Astyanax mexicanus: one gene and its partner. The protein of the gene in region 1 purifies or fractionates together with the protein of each later gene. This does not show direct contact. Links are inferred from orthologs where the notes say so. Each region holds a gene or a part of one and is shown in the gene's direction. Other genes may lie near its edges.

Region 1 (7,343 bases):
GATTAATCTATAACTTTACTGGAATGTAAACCAGGATGTTTGCCAAGAGACGATTTATATATATATATATATATATATATATATATATATATATATATATATATATATATATATATATAAAACACTATATCTGAACTACATCTTCACTGACTGGAATTTGCAACGCGTTCCTTCACACCAAGCTACTGCTGCATTCTGGCTGAACTACCAAATTAAAGCTGCTACTTAGCCCATATGTAACTTTAAAAAAGTTGTGTTTTTAACGTATGGGTGACTTCAGAAGATATGCTGGGGTGTACTTACAGTCTAGATGCTGGTGAAAGTGAAGTGTGTCCAGTGAGTAAGTGTTAAATAGTGACGGCTCCTCCAGTGCCTTGACCAGGCGATGCATGGGAAGCGAGCAGCTTTAGAGGGAAAAACATGCCTTTCTTTGTTTTCGTTGTCAGCTGCGCGTCCCAGGGCGAAATCTGATTGGTCGACGTGCTCATGTTTGCACCGCCGTATCCAACACCGCTGTGGAGCCCCTCACTGCTCCAGCCAGATTTACCCACCCGTTTCCAGGCAGGCCACGCCCTCCGGGGCTGCGATTGGCTAATAATTCATAACTGATACATGTGTCCCTCTCTCACATACAATTTTTGATTTTTTAAAATCCGTTTTGAAGAATGATACTAACTGCATTATTTTCCCACTATCAGTAAAACTTGAGGTTTGTTTTACACAATTTGTACACTCAGTACAGACATCCCAAGTTGCAAAAAATAATTTCAGGGAGAAATTATATATATATATATATATATATATATATATATATATATATATATATATATATATATATATATATATATATATATATATATATATGCTAAAATCACTATTACATTATTATTATTATTTAATTGTTTTTAACTTTTACCAGACATAGATATACAGACATAGAAAAAAAAGTTTACATTAGAACCACTACGGGCGGCACAGTGGCGCAGTGGGTAGCACTTCCGCCTCACAGCAAGACGATTCCCGGCTGGGGCAACCCGGGTCTTTCTGTGTGGAGTTTGCACGTTCTCCCTGTGTCTGCGTGGGTTTCCTCCGGGTTCCTCCGGTTTCCTCCCACAGTCCAAAGACGGCACGTTCAGGCTAATTGGAACTTGATTGAAATTGCCCCTTAGGTGTGAGTGTGTGAGTGAAATATTAATAGCCCATTACACACTCAGTGGGTGTGTTACAGCTGGAAAAGCACTGTCATGTGCGAAACACAGTGGACCTCGAGAACCAGGTTTGAGAAACACTGCAATTAGGACTTTTCTAAATATAGGTGGGGAAAAAAGTGCTTGCTTGTTGCTTGTTTCCTGTATGACTGACTACACAAAGGGCCTCTTCAAGGGCTGTTTAGTAAAGACAATAATGGTTATGCATGTAGAACAGTGATAAGTGAAGCATATGAATTTCATATGAATGGGTTCTATTGTTAAATGTTTAACACGCTTTTTGGTACCGAAACTGAAAATCTGGTCAAAAAACAGTATGTAGAGAAACAGATATTATTCTGGGAAAATAATACACTTATTTTTTTCTAACAAATGGAATTTGACACATATTGATGCATGTAGATCATAGACTGTACAGTCTATGATGTAGTTAAATAGTTTTATATAGCTTCATCCTTACAGCAAATGCTCTACACACTAAGAAAAATAAGTACATATTTCTACTTAAAAGAGAACAAAGCTTGTCGCTGGGGCTGTACCTTATATTTAGGTACAAGTACCTTTCAGTAAATTTCCTTTTTTGAACCCATGTGTTTTTGTACCAGTAAAGATTATAAAGATTATAAATCAATTAAGAACTTGAAGATCCAGAAGTCAAGAACTTGAAGATCTAAAATTGTCTAGCTTTCAAATAAAAATGTGCAATTAAAATATATTGGCTAAATGGTTAAATGGTACAAATCTGTACGTATTGCTGTTAGGAATGACTTTGTACTTCAGAGGGAACACACCTGACCCTGTAAAGACCAATATTATACCTTTGAGGGTACAATTATTAAGAGTGTACCTTTAAGTACCAAAAGTACTTATATTGTACCTCTGTTCTTTTTAGTGTAAAATTGAGTAGAAAGCCTTCCCTGTAAAGACTTCAACAAAAGTGGGATAAAGTTACTTAGGTAGAAACAATAAATGAGCATGTGTGCCAGTAAATGTGTTTGTATAGTGTATTTAATGTAGGAAATGTGAAGATTCCACCAGCTCTGGTGGTAGTGCTTTGGGATCCTGGGAAATGAAGTGAAGCGGTGATCTTTGCAGTTTCAAATATATTTTTAAGCTTTTATATCAATCCCTTTTCTTTGTTTTTCTTAGGTTTGTTTTTTGTTAGTATTTTTGTAATGATGGTAGTTTGAACTTTGTTTGTGGCCTAATTTTGTGTTTTACCACTTCAGTTTCTGAAACATTTTCTCTGAGTTTGCTATTTGTAGGTATATGTTTAAAAATGAAAATGAACATTGTTGTTTTATTCTATAAACTACGGACAACATTTCTACCAAATTCTAAATAAATGTTGTCATTTAGAGCGTTTATTTGCAGAAAATGAGAAATGGCTGGAAAGACCTCAAATAATGCAAAGAAAACAAGTTCATACTCATAAAGGTTTAAAAGTTCAGAAATCAATATTTGGTGGAATAACCCTGGTTTTTAATGCATCTTGGCATGTTCTTCTCCAACAGTCTTACACACTGCTGGTGTAAAAATTCAAGCGGTTCAGCTTGGTTTGATGGCTTGTGATCATCCATCTTCCTCTTGGTTATATTCCAGAGGTTTTCAATTTGGTAAAATCAAAGAAAATCGTTCTTTTTAAGTGGTCTCAAAAAAAATGTGAGAACTGGCATACAGTGTCAGATTTCCAGTCTACCGCCATCTAGTGTTTATAATCTGTAACACACACACACTCAAGCGTTACAAAACAATCCGCGGGTTACGTCACGCCCACACACGTGTGACCCTCTTCGCGCTGTTTATACTCTTTAAGGTCAGTGGAAGAAATAAACGGAGTGTATCGATATAAACAGCGCGTGGGGCTTTCTGTACTGCTGAAAACACGTCTGACTGTACGTTCACACCGAACGCGATAAAATCGCTCTGTGTCGCCTGTCCAACAGGCGATGAGTCGCTTGTGGGCGTGTCTCACTCAGAACGAGCTGTCGCTGGTGGGCGTTTTCCAAATACGGCACATACAGAAACAAGGGTTCAGCCTCTCTACACAGTTCCTAAACATTAAAAACTTTTATAACTATTTTTAAGTACAATTATTTAACATAATTATTTCATATTACAATAAATGGGTTTACTTAAATATAATACATTATTTTCCTTAATGTAGTAAATCATTCTCTTAATTTGTCCATAATTTCAAATATTGTTAACTTAATGTCTAAAATAAATTCTTGTAATTAATATGTTTACTTAAATATATTAAATCATCCTCTTGATTTAATAAACAGTCTTTCTCTTAATTTAATAAATAATTCCCTCAGTTTGAATAAATCTTTCTGTAAAATGTAATGAATAATTCCCTCAATTTTACCTAAATCGTTTCAAATTCCATACCTCAGTTTGAACAAATTGTTACGTTAAATGTATTAATTACTTTCTTCAGTTGTAATAAATCATTATGTTAACTTTAATAAATAATTCCCTTTGTTTCAATAAAAGGTTCTGTTAATTTAAAAAATATTCCCTTAGTTGTCATAAATCGTTCTGTTAATTTATAAATAATTTCCTCAGTTTAATATATAGTTTTCTATTAAATAAGGTAATTCTGTAAGGATAGTACTATAGTGGGGTAGCCGCTGGTGAAGTGGAGTATTTTACCTCAGATCAGCTCAGTTCAGTTCTGTTCTTTCCGTTTTGCTGGCGGAATAAATCTTCAGTAGGAACTGAAAATCAGAGCAGCGATTTCAGGCCGGACATATGAGAATCTGTTTCTGATTGGTAGTCGCCGCCGCGCGTCGCTGCTCATTTGCATAAAGTTAAGTTCTGGTCAACTCTCTCGCGTCGCTCAAACCGCCCGCTTCGCATCGCGTCGCGCCGCGTCGCTGCCTGTCGCCCAGTGTCGCTCGCTCTCATTGAAAATGAATGACTTCCGGCTGCTTTGTCGCTCGCGTCGCTTTCGGTGTGGACGCACGGTGAAAGGTAGGTAAAGTATCTTAACATTAGCTACTTGCTAATGCCGCTGTAACCTAACGTTACACCTTGTTAGCTTGCTAGCTCATCAGTGTTTCTGAAGTTGCAGGCTAGTTGTGTGTTAGTGTATGAGCTGTAATCATAGTCACTGTGTATCGACATGTTTCAGACAGAAAACTGCTGTACAATGGCGAGAGGGAAGAGGAAAGAGGAGGGCGCGAGAAAACGACAGAATGCTGAGGTTTCTGAAACGCTTTCCAAAAAGCTGAAAGCAAAGAAAGATGGACGGGCTGGATCAAACACAGGTGTGGAAACGTGTTCACTGGTATTTCCTTTACGTTTTATTCTGAAAAGTGATTTTATTATAAACGACGAGGCATGTAAAACTGCCAGGAGTAGCCAGTTTACTAACTTACACAATATGTCCAAATGTTTGTGGACACCCCTTCCTTCTAATAAATGTATTTAGCTATGTAAAAGAGGCACTAAACCCTTAATCACTAACCACTACTTAAAATTATTACTTATTATAAGCATTTCCTAACCTCTAAAAAAACGCTTTTACTGTGGTAATTTCTGCCTCTGCAGTGTCCTCTCAAGTTCAACTGGGCTACAGGCGAGGATGAGGTTTCCGTGTACTTTCCTACATAGACACTCACAATATGCAGATCAGTCAGTCAATAATACCGCCCCCCTGGTGACATCCAACCATCTGCTTCACACTGCTGCAGCTGCAACTCAGCCAATCAGCTCTCCCTCCTGCCCCACCCCTAAACCCATACATCACCCAGTGCCCCCTTTTTAGCCTTTTTTAAAGCCCCACTAGGTAGGATTTCCTTGATTTTTGATCTTTTTAAAGAAGTAAAATTACAGCTTGAAACTCACTGCAGCGCTCAATTGAGGTGTAATAGGAGGAATAGCGGTGCTCTCGTGTCTGTGCCGGGCTCCTCTGAGCTCAAACCAGACTCTGTAAGTTTTCCAAGGCGGCTGCAACCAACGCTCGCGAGAACTGCGACCTGCTTTCCGACCTTTAGTTCTAACAGTTCTACAAGGACTACTGGTTCATTCTTTACAAACTAACATACAGACACGCTGGCAGAAGCTGGAAATAGACCGAATATGTCTGTGAAAGCCAGAAAACGAGAAAGAGAAACTAATCCGCCTGAAACATTTATTACACTCTGCAACTGTAGGGGGAGCCCACGAGCACAAAATCTCAATCCTACCTAGTGGAGCTTTAAATTTAAGCTGATGGTGGAGTCAGGAAAAATCAGGAAGTTCAGTGCCCCTTTAAGCTGCACCCATGAGTCATGGCTGATACAGATGTGCAAATATGTCTAGTCCCTATTGGAGAAGGTATTGCCAATCAGTTTATTGACAGTCACGTGTGTTTACTTAGTATTATATGACACCAAAGCGCCATGTTTACGGTATAGTTATTGTGAGCAGTACAGTGAAAGTACAAGAAACTAACATGCTTTTATAACCTTTAGAGAATTTAAAGCAGTACAACTGGAGAAACAGAAGTAAAGTGAGGAAATGGCTTCTCCAGACAAGCTGAACAAGAATGTCACAGAATCTACTTTGGATTAACGTCTGTTAGCCACACTGATAAATACAAACTGACTACAACAAGCTAGCCCCAGTAATCCAAAACACAGATGAAACTGCTGACTGCAGTACTACAGCATGAACACAGAGTACCTTCAGCATGGCGATAAACACATTTAGAACCTCACCGTTATGTCACCTGTCAACAGCATGTCAGCAGATTAACATGAATCTAGTGGCACAATGCCTAATGCCAGGTGTGTTGTAGAGGGGAATTGAGCAGTGAAACTGTGTTCTCTGGAATTATGCTGCCTTATTCAGTACTTTGGGAATGAGGTGTTGATCATCAAACATTCTGACCCCACTAATTTTATTATAGCTAGATGCAATCAGATTCTCGCAGCAGTGTTGCACTAACTAAAAGTCTTCCTAAGACAGTAGAGTTACTCTGACTCTAACAGATGCAGGATAAACTCTTATTTTAATGCCTTAAATTTCAACAATGAATATAAACAGTCCAAATACTTTTGCCCATATAGTGTACATTCAGGCAAGTGTAAAGTGGACTGGAGGACTGAAGAAATGCAGCCAGATAAGCATACCTCATTACATCTACAAGAGCTCCTTAGGACAGAGCATCCACTCTCAACTACGACAGGTAACCAACCACATGCCTAAAACTAATTACAGTGTTCTGTCTATTCTCAGAAAGTGATGGCTGTGTCAATTTTTATAGTGCTGTTGTATTTTTCATGTGATTTTGATGATTTTCCTCATTGTTATATTTTCATATCATTATTTTTAAGAATGATATGCAGAAATACAAGATTATGTATATTTGTTTTACTCAGTTCCTGCTTAATTCAGTCATATCCAATTACTGTAGAAAACATGGACAGTGGAGTGTCTCTCAAAAGTAGTCATCCTTCAAACAAATGCAGGGTGTTCTCCCTGTCTTTTAATGTGACCTTATATCTGACAAAGCCCAGTATAGTCTCTTGGACTCCCTCATTTAGATGGTTAGTGTGTTGATAAACAGTCTGTCTGTCTGCTGCTAATGAATTTTTCCATGCATTATTTTCTTCACTGTTTTTAAGTGTCTCCAAGAGCCTTTTATTCGCTCCCTGGAATCATTCAGACTGCACCGAACAGCCAGCCCTTTTGAACGGAGGGTCACATGTCTGGAGTGGCATCCCAGTCATCCCAGCACTGTGGCAGTGGGCTCTAAGGGTGGAGACATCATGTTGTGGGACTATGAAATTTTGAACAAGAAATCCTTCATACAAGGGGTATGTTAGATTTACTGCCAATCAAAGTTGGCTGGGTAGAATAATTAAAAATTTTTGTTTGTCTGTGTCCCAATCACATACTACACATAATACCAAACCATTCTGTACAAACAAAAAGTGATAAAGTGTTGTTCTCCTGCTGCCATTGTAGGACAGTCTCAATCTTTACCACACCTTTAAAAACGGTTCTGAGCATGGAATATTTGAGAATACTTTTATCAATACTATATACTTTATTCTCAAAAACTACTTTGTATTATCTGTTTGTAGGGAATTGGGACGCATCCACATACTTCAGTGTAGATAAAGAAATTGCACACTTAAC
Region 2 (7,776 bases), on another chromosome or scaffold:
GAATTTTGCAACAAACAACTCTGTCTGTTGCACGCTTTAAGACATGTCTGCAGGAAGAATAAAACAAAATAACATCTGAAACACGTTAGTGCTTGGTATCCTTAAAGCCAGCCAATCTCTTGTTGTGTTGTGTTGTGATCAAAATTACAAAGTGGTAAATGCTTTTCTGTCCCAACTTTTTTAGTATGTGTTGAAGACCTAAAATGTAGGAATAGATGTATATATATAAATGAAATAAAGTATATATAAGGTGTATACTGTCTGCAAATTAAATAAAAAGTAAATATTTTTATAAAATGCATTTTTATTTATTTGCATTTTCTTTACCGCTTCTATACTGGAGTTATAATAACGGAGTAATGGAGAATACGTTTTTTTTTGTTTGTTTTTTTTGTTTCCAGTCTGTTACATTCAGTGAACAAATGAAAAGAAATTGTGTCTGATATATAAAACAGTGCCGTATGTGTCTTATATAAAATGTTATGACTATTAATAACTTGATTTGTGTCTGTGAAATACAGTACAACACTTCAGTTCTGTTTCACACAATAGTGAACTGGTTTTACTTGTTTTACAGGATATTTTAGCACCAACAGAAACGTGATTTATAGAATTCCTGGTAATTGGGAGGGACCAGTTTATCCTGGAATATTTAGACTGTGGGACAGTGAGTTCAGAAAGACTACAGAGGATTATTCAGCAGAACCGTACAGAATCCTCACACAGTGCCGTCAGTTTAACTGACCCAACTGCCTCATTTTACATTACAATTACAGACCTGTATTACATATCTCTGAACAGTTAACACCCCTCACCCCCCACCACATATACATGTATCCACCCACCCATCCCCCCCAGATTCAAGCCGCTAAATGTACTCAGCAGGCCCACTGTAAATTAGGAAAATAGGTGTTTCTTACATTTACTCTGACTTTTATTTGAATGCAGGCAGTATGAAGATATTTAATGTTTTACTTGCTCAACTTTCTGTTTCATTAATTAGTATACATCAATTCCTGCATTTCAGGCCTCCAACACATTCCAATAAATTCCAAAAAAAGACAGAAAAGCATTTACCCCTTCTTAATGGTGTAATTTATTTTCCATAACACTTAAAATACATTTGAGGACTAAGAATAATTTCCACACATTTCCTCCTTTTGGGGACAGGATAGGTCAGGACTGCAGGCAGGCCAGTCTAGTACCCGTACCCTCTTCTTCCACGGCCATGCCTTTGTAATGAGTGCATCATGTGGTTTTACATTGTCTTGTTGAAAAAAAAAAAAAAAAAAAACCTTGGAACCTTGTCATTAATGCTGCAATCACAGAAATATACTACTACAACCCCCTTACCATGACAGACTCTGACCTGCTGCTGATAACAGATTTGCTGATACAGGCATGTAAATTCCTCTCAAAGTCCAATATACAGCTCTGAAAAAATTAAGAGACCAGAGGGATAAATTTTAAGTAAAATGAACATTGTTGTTTTATTCTAGAAACTATTTAAACATGTCTCCCAATTTCCAAAAAAAAATATTGTCATTGACAGCTTTTTTTTAGAAAAATGGCTGAAATAACAAAAAAGATGCAGAGCTTTCAGACCACAAACAATGCAAAAGAAAACAAGTTCATATTCATAAAGTTTTAAAAGTTCAGAAATCAATATTTGGTGGAATAACCCTGGTCTTTAATTACAGTTTCCATGCATCTTGGCATGTTCTCCTCCACCAGTCTTGCACACTGCTTTTGTATAACTTTATACCACTCCTGGTGCAAAAATTAAGCAGTTCAACTTAGTTTGATGGCCTGTGATCATCCATGTTCCTCTTGATTATAATCTCGAGGTTTTCAGTTTGAAACTCATCAATTTTATGTGGTTTCTTATTTTTTTAGAGCTGTATATTGTATATTTCTGATGACCATTTGTTTGACCACAAGGAGAGATGATACCATTTAAAACAGTACAGACGGAAACACGATATTAACGCTGATATTCAGAGCCGGACGTGACGACACAGCGACTGTGAAAAAGGTCTATTAAACTTTAGTTTATAAAGCTAGCTTTAGCTAGTTAGCCTTCTGTTTATTGAGCTGAAATGCTAGCTAACTGCTGTCTATACCATGACAAGGTCAGGGGGCGTATTTTCCCCTTTTATTAAAGAAAAAAGAGACGGTTATAACCACAGTATTATGATTAGCTAACTAGCTAGCTAGCTAGGTTAACTAGGTTATTTAGTGTGTAAAGCATTAAGGCATCAAGGCAGCATTTCCTGCGTTTCAGATACACCCAAACGTGCCATGACTGGCTGACTGTAGGTTAGTTAGTATCTGGGCTCTGATTCTGGACTGAAAAGACTGAGCTTTAGTGTATTAGCTTTATATAGCTTTGAATAGAGAAGCACTCACCCCGGTTCTTTCTCCCGGAGCTGCCGCTGCCCCGCCGCCCCGCTGACCCGTCGTCCTCGCGCTGCTCTGCGTCTCCGTCAGTTAGTCAGCTGGCGCCTGCAGGCAGCCCCTCTGTAGCAGCTCCGCTGTAGTGTTGTGCTGTGTGCACGAGCGCGCCCTTTATTTGTTTTTAAAGAACTAGCTACAACATTTGGTCCCCCACCCCATCTCTTCACCCCGACCCCCCCATCTTCCTCTAAAAGCCCGTATGTGCAAGCATGTGTGCTCCACTGCTGCAGCTCGAGCACTACTCTTCTAACACGTGCAAATGAGCAGGACAAATGAAGCATTCACACACGCTTTCACACCTTTACGCACATACTCACACCTGCACACACCTTTACGCACATACTCACACTTGCACACATTTTTACGCACATACTAAACACTTGCACACACCTTTACGCACATGCACATGCAGACCCTCACACCTGTGAACGCCTGTCCAGCTGTGCACTCGGTCTGGACGCCCTCCGGCTCACTTCTACACACACAAATGGTGTGAAAACAATCACATTCATTACTCTGTAGGTAGAGGTATAGATACTAGGGTTAATACTACTGTACAATTTTAAGTATCAACTCAAGCTAAAATTCGGAAATTGAATCAACGTTAATTTGATGTTTTTTGAGTGGTTGTGCTCTTCTACGCACAATTAACATTAATAATAGTTATTATTTACAATTTGTCTGCTTTGTTTACACACATTTTCCAAAAGCATACCTCATTCTCTCAGTACTCTACACACAAATCAAGCAAACACATACACAACAGGCATAACCTTTCAATTCTCTCGCAAAATACAATTTTACATTCAACACAATGTTATCTCTTCTAATAATGGTGTTTTGTGTTCAGATGACACATACAAACCATAATAGGAATATACATTTATAAGAATCAGTTAAACACTGATAAGCTCAATGTAAAACATTATGATGAATAAAAACACTTCTCTATTCACAATAATGACATTTTTTTAAAACATTGTTTTTATACTCAGAACACACAGTACACAGTAAAAATCTATATTTTATAAAATATCTATTTTATTTTCCCATAAAAACAAGGTACACAGTGTACATCCCAACCAACATACAGTTGCATGTACAGTGGTCTACATACAAATACAAAAGCAAAATAATAATTTACTGTATACAGTTACTGTACAGCCATGAAAAGAAATTGTACAACTAATACAATACTGTAAAAACTGTGTAGGAACACAAAGTTTGAATACATTTTCCAAATAATTGAAACATACTTTCTGTCCTACAGAACAGTCGAATACAAACACCCAACATGTTATTAACCCAACAAGTCATTACACCACTGTTATAACATAGTTAACACTTTACTATGTTCTGTATAACACTGATATAATACAGTTATAAACAAGAAAACTCCAGAAACTCCTTCAAGATGCTAAGAAAACTATTCGAGGTGACTCTCCCTTATGGGGACACTGAGATTAAGTGTGCAGATCTGTCCTCAAACATTTTTTTTTACTAAATTTTTACTTTTGATTATTTTAATTTGAACACAAAACATTTCTGTATGTGTTTCTGTATAGCTTTGATGTCTTTAAAATAAAAAAGTAAAAATCATAAAAAGAAAGAAAACACCTGGTACTGTAATGGTGTAATAAATTCTTTACAAGCTGCTGTAAAACACAGATATAATTATGTAATAAACTTTATACAGTGCTTATTTTGTGCCACTGTTTAAAGTTTAGTAACATCTCTACAATGCACCACAATTTAACTTCCAAACAACATCTAAACTAGGGGACATAAATGGAGCTAAATACAGGGCAAACATGGAAGAAAATCTGCTGGAGACTGAAGACTGTCCACCAAGACACTTATGTGCATTGTGTTGGTCTATCACTGAAAATCTCAATAAAAGACATTTAAGTTTGTGGTTATAAGATGACAAAATGTGAAAAAGTTCAAGGGGTATGAATACTTTTGGAAGCCACTGTATGAGTATATGTTTTATGTTTTTTAAGTTACATATTTATATATTTTTGTGTTAATGTATTTGTATTTTTATGCTATTTAAGATGTACTAAAAATATCCCTATACATAAAAAATAAATATATTAAAAAATGTCTATAATAAAAAACTTTGTTTCCTGTACAGGATATTAAAGTTAGTAAATTGTTAGTTAAATGTTTCTGATCGCCGTTTTTAGCGGAAAAAATTAAAAATAAAAGTTTTGTTAAACACTGGAGACTTTTATCGTTTGTTTTTGATCCTTCTCTCAAATCTCGCGGGATCTGTGGCTTATGAGCGCAGATCTCGCGATAGCAGTGTTGTGTTGGTGGCGGCCTCCGCGGCGCTTCACCGTGACTTGTGTTCCTGAGCAGCAGCCTCTCATACTTGAATGAAAAGCGGCGAGAGAGCGCTCGTTACCCCGCTGCAGAGTCATGGCTTCCGCGCTGGAGCAGTTCGTGAATAATGTGCGGCAGCTGTCTGCACAAGGTACGCACCCGTTCGGAGAGATGGAGCGAGTTTAGCCAGGTCTGCTAGCGGCGGCGGACGAGGCTTAATCGAACTATCCGTTCCACCTTAAATAGCGAGGCTGTAGACTGCATCTACATTCTCGCGCCTCGATTCCGGACTGTAACTGCCGCCACATTTAAGGTGGAATGGAGAATTCGAACTAGCAGCTTCTTGGTCTCACTTCACTTATTTCCACACTCTTTAACTAACCTTTAACTAAACACACATGTAATTTGAACCGCCTTTAAACTCTTCTTAAACCACCAAACGCAAACAAATGTTGATTTAACCCGAATTCCCCTCGCTTTTGTGTTTATAAACACAGCTAGCTAGATAGCTAATGCTACTGCTAGTTATGTCTATTAGGTGCTAGCTGACTGACTAGCCAAACACAGTGAGTGCAGCTAACTTTAGCGCACCTTAGCGCTTTAACTGGCTCACAGACTCTCAGAGAAACTTGGTAAATAATAGATTAGCTACATTAGACAAGTGTTTGAGATATTATTAGACAAGTTAAGTGTTTTAATTTGAGACAAATAAGCTGCTTTACTGAGTTAGATAACCTATCCATTAGATTAGGGCTGGACGATATGACTGAAATGTCATATCACGATATGGTCAAGATATATCGAAATCCTTAACAGAATATAATGTATATATAGTTCATGTATAATGTGTTTTCTTTCTGTTAATGATTTTTTGACATTGTAAATTTAATATAGAAGAATATTGATTACAGGAACACACGCAGAATTATTTTGCAATCAAAGTGTTAAACAAACCAGAATATCATTATATATATATATATATATATATATATATATATAATTATATCAGTATATTGGTTATACAACATATGCTGATGTATGTATTGTGTGCTGGAATAGGACCAAGTAACACTGGCCGTGCTACGTTAAAATACTATTTAAAATGCTATTTTATTTTACTTTGTTTAGTGCATCGCATTTACAAATAATTTATAAGTATACACTGACTTTGGAGACGACCAATTTTTAATAATGAACATTATTGATTAGTTGACTAATCATTGCATCCATAATTTGCAACAATGTAAACGTTGAGCTAGATATTTTGAGCTGTAAATATGAGTGTTACTAAGTAACCTATAAAACTGCTTATAAGACTGCTTCGAAAAGCAATACATATATTATGACTTATTCTATATTTACATGTTCCTGTTTCTGTATTTAATTATGTTCTTATTATTAACTGATTTTAAGATTTAATATATTCACACTTCAGTTTAGTAGTTAATTTTAGTGAAGCATCTGCTCGATGGTGAACATTACATCCATAATTATACATTATACCATTTTATTCCTGATTCATGTCTGATCCTTTGTTTTTACCACTGTGTTATGTTCTCTAGTTGTAATTAACGCATTTTATGAAGCCTGCAGCAGTGAGGAGCATTTTACAAAGCTCTTTACACTCCAGATGTGTGTGTTCTGTATGTAAACACACTCCCACCACATTCTTATTCTGCTTTAGAAACTAAACTACGGTTAAATGTTTTTTTTTGTTTTTTTTTTTTTTTTACAAGCAGAAAATCCACACTCTTTTATTTTTACTTTAAAGTGACACTTTAAGGACTGGCCACAAACAACCCACCCCACATACATACACACACACACACACACACACACACACACACTTTAGCTGTCTTGTTTAGAGCTCTGTGTAACTGATTCTGTTATCAAATATATCTGTCTCGTCTTTCTGTCTGTCACTCTTAGGTCAGATGACTCAGCTATGTGAGCTGATCAACAAGAGTGGAGAGCTGCTGGCCAAGAACCTCTCCCACCTAGACACGGTGCTGGGAGCGTTGGACATCCAGGAGCACTCTCTGGGCGTGCTGGCTGTGCTGTGAGTGCTGTTCCAGGATCAGTGCAGACTGATTTATTAAGTGCTAAATCTGAAGCTAAGCATCCCCTTCTTTTTAAGATGCTATTAATCATACATGGACCCTGGTGTCAAAGATAAATTATTATTATAAACCGAGTCTTTACTAAAGTAAAACTAGTATTTAAAACCAAATTGAATTTGTTTGAATCTGTAATGCAATTACAACAGTGTTCCCAGCACATTTAGAGAATTGCCCACACCCATTGCAATTTCTCAAAGGGCGTGTTAATGAGCTAATTAGCTGATTCAGGTGTGTTAGGAGAAGGTAAAATTTGCATGATTGGGAAACCTGTAAACTAGGGGTGGGAATCTGCGATGCGGTTATAAAACAATTATTAATGCATCCTAATGCATTTTCTTCTTCTATACAGGATTTCTTTGTTTTATTGCATGACTGCTTGGTCATTTTAAAGTAAAGAATTTGTAATGATCCATAATAAATCCCACTTTTTAGTAGGCTCTTTGACACCATTTTTATTTACTTAAAAAAACATAGTTATTTCCTTTGATCAGATGATAGGATTAATGTTGTTAGGGTAATGGTTAGGCAAGCTTCAGCCACAATATTAAACCAGGAAAATAGAAACAAGAAGGTGATTATAATGTTATGACTTATGCTTGTTTTAATATTGTGTCTGATATGTGTTGGATTTGCATATGAATAAAATGTAAAGTATGTAACAGAAAGTTACACATTATAATAGACTTTGTAATATTTATATATACATAAGAATGGGATCCCAGATTGGCTTACCTAATAATTAAATTCAAATAAATTTGAGTTTTTCTTCTAATAATAATAATAATACCACAAGGACAACAATATTAATAATTATAATGGTAAGCACAAGCATCATTTGTTTAAAGTTATTAAACAACGTTTAAAATATTTA

The links.
Region 2: the proteins of ddb2 (region 1) and cops3 purify together in Homo sapiens (affinity purification with mass spectrometry; 7 studies listed by BioGRID and IntAct, with this or other methods). This does not show direct contact. The link is inferred for Astyanax mexicanus from reciprocal best matches to the Homo sapiens genes DDB2 and COPS3.

What each region holds. Positions count from the first base shown.
Region 1 is NC_064416.1:24,642,015-24,649,357, forward strand, and holds the start of ddb2 (DNA damage-binding protein 2), read left to right. Parts: upstream 1-4,321; 5' UTR 4,322-4,338; coding exon 4,339-4,483; intron 4,484-6,268; coding exon 6,269-6,387; intron 6,388-6,826; coding exon 6,827-7,018; intron 7,019-7,343.
Region 2 is NC_064422.1:7,820,944-7,828,719, forward strand, and holds the start of cops3 (COP9 signalosome complex subunit 3), read left to right. Parts: upstream 1-4,754; 5' UTR 4,755-4,881; coding exon 4,882-4,936; intron 4,937-6,714; coding exon 6,715-6,844; intron 6,845-7,776. UniProt on the Homo sapiens protein: Component of the COP9 signalosome complex (CSN), a complex involved in various cellular and developmental processes.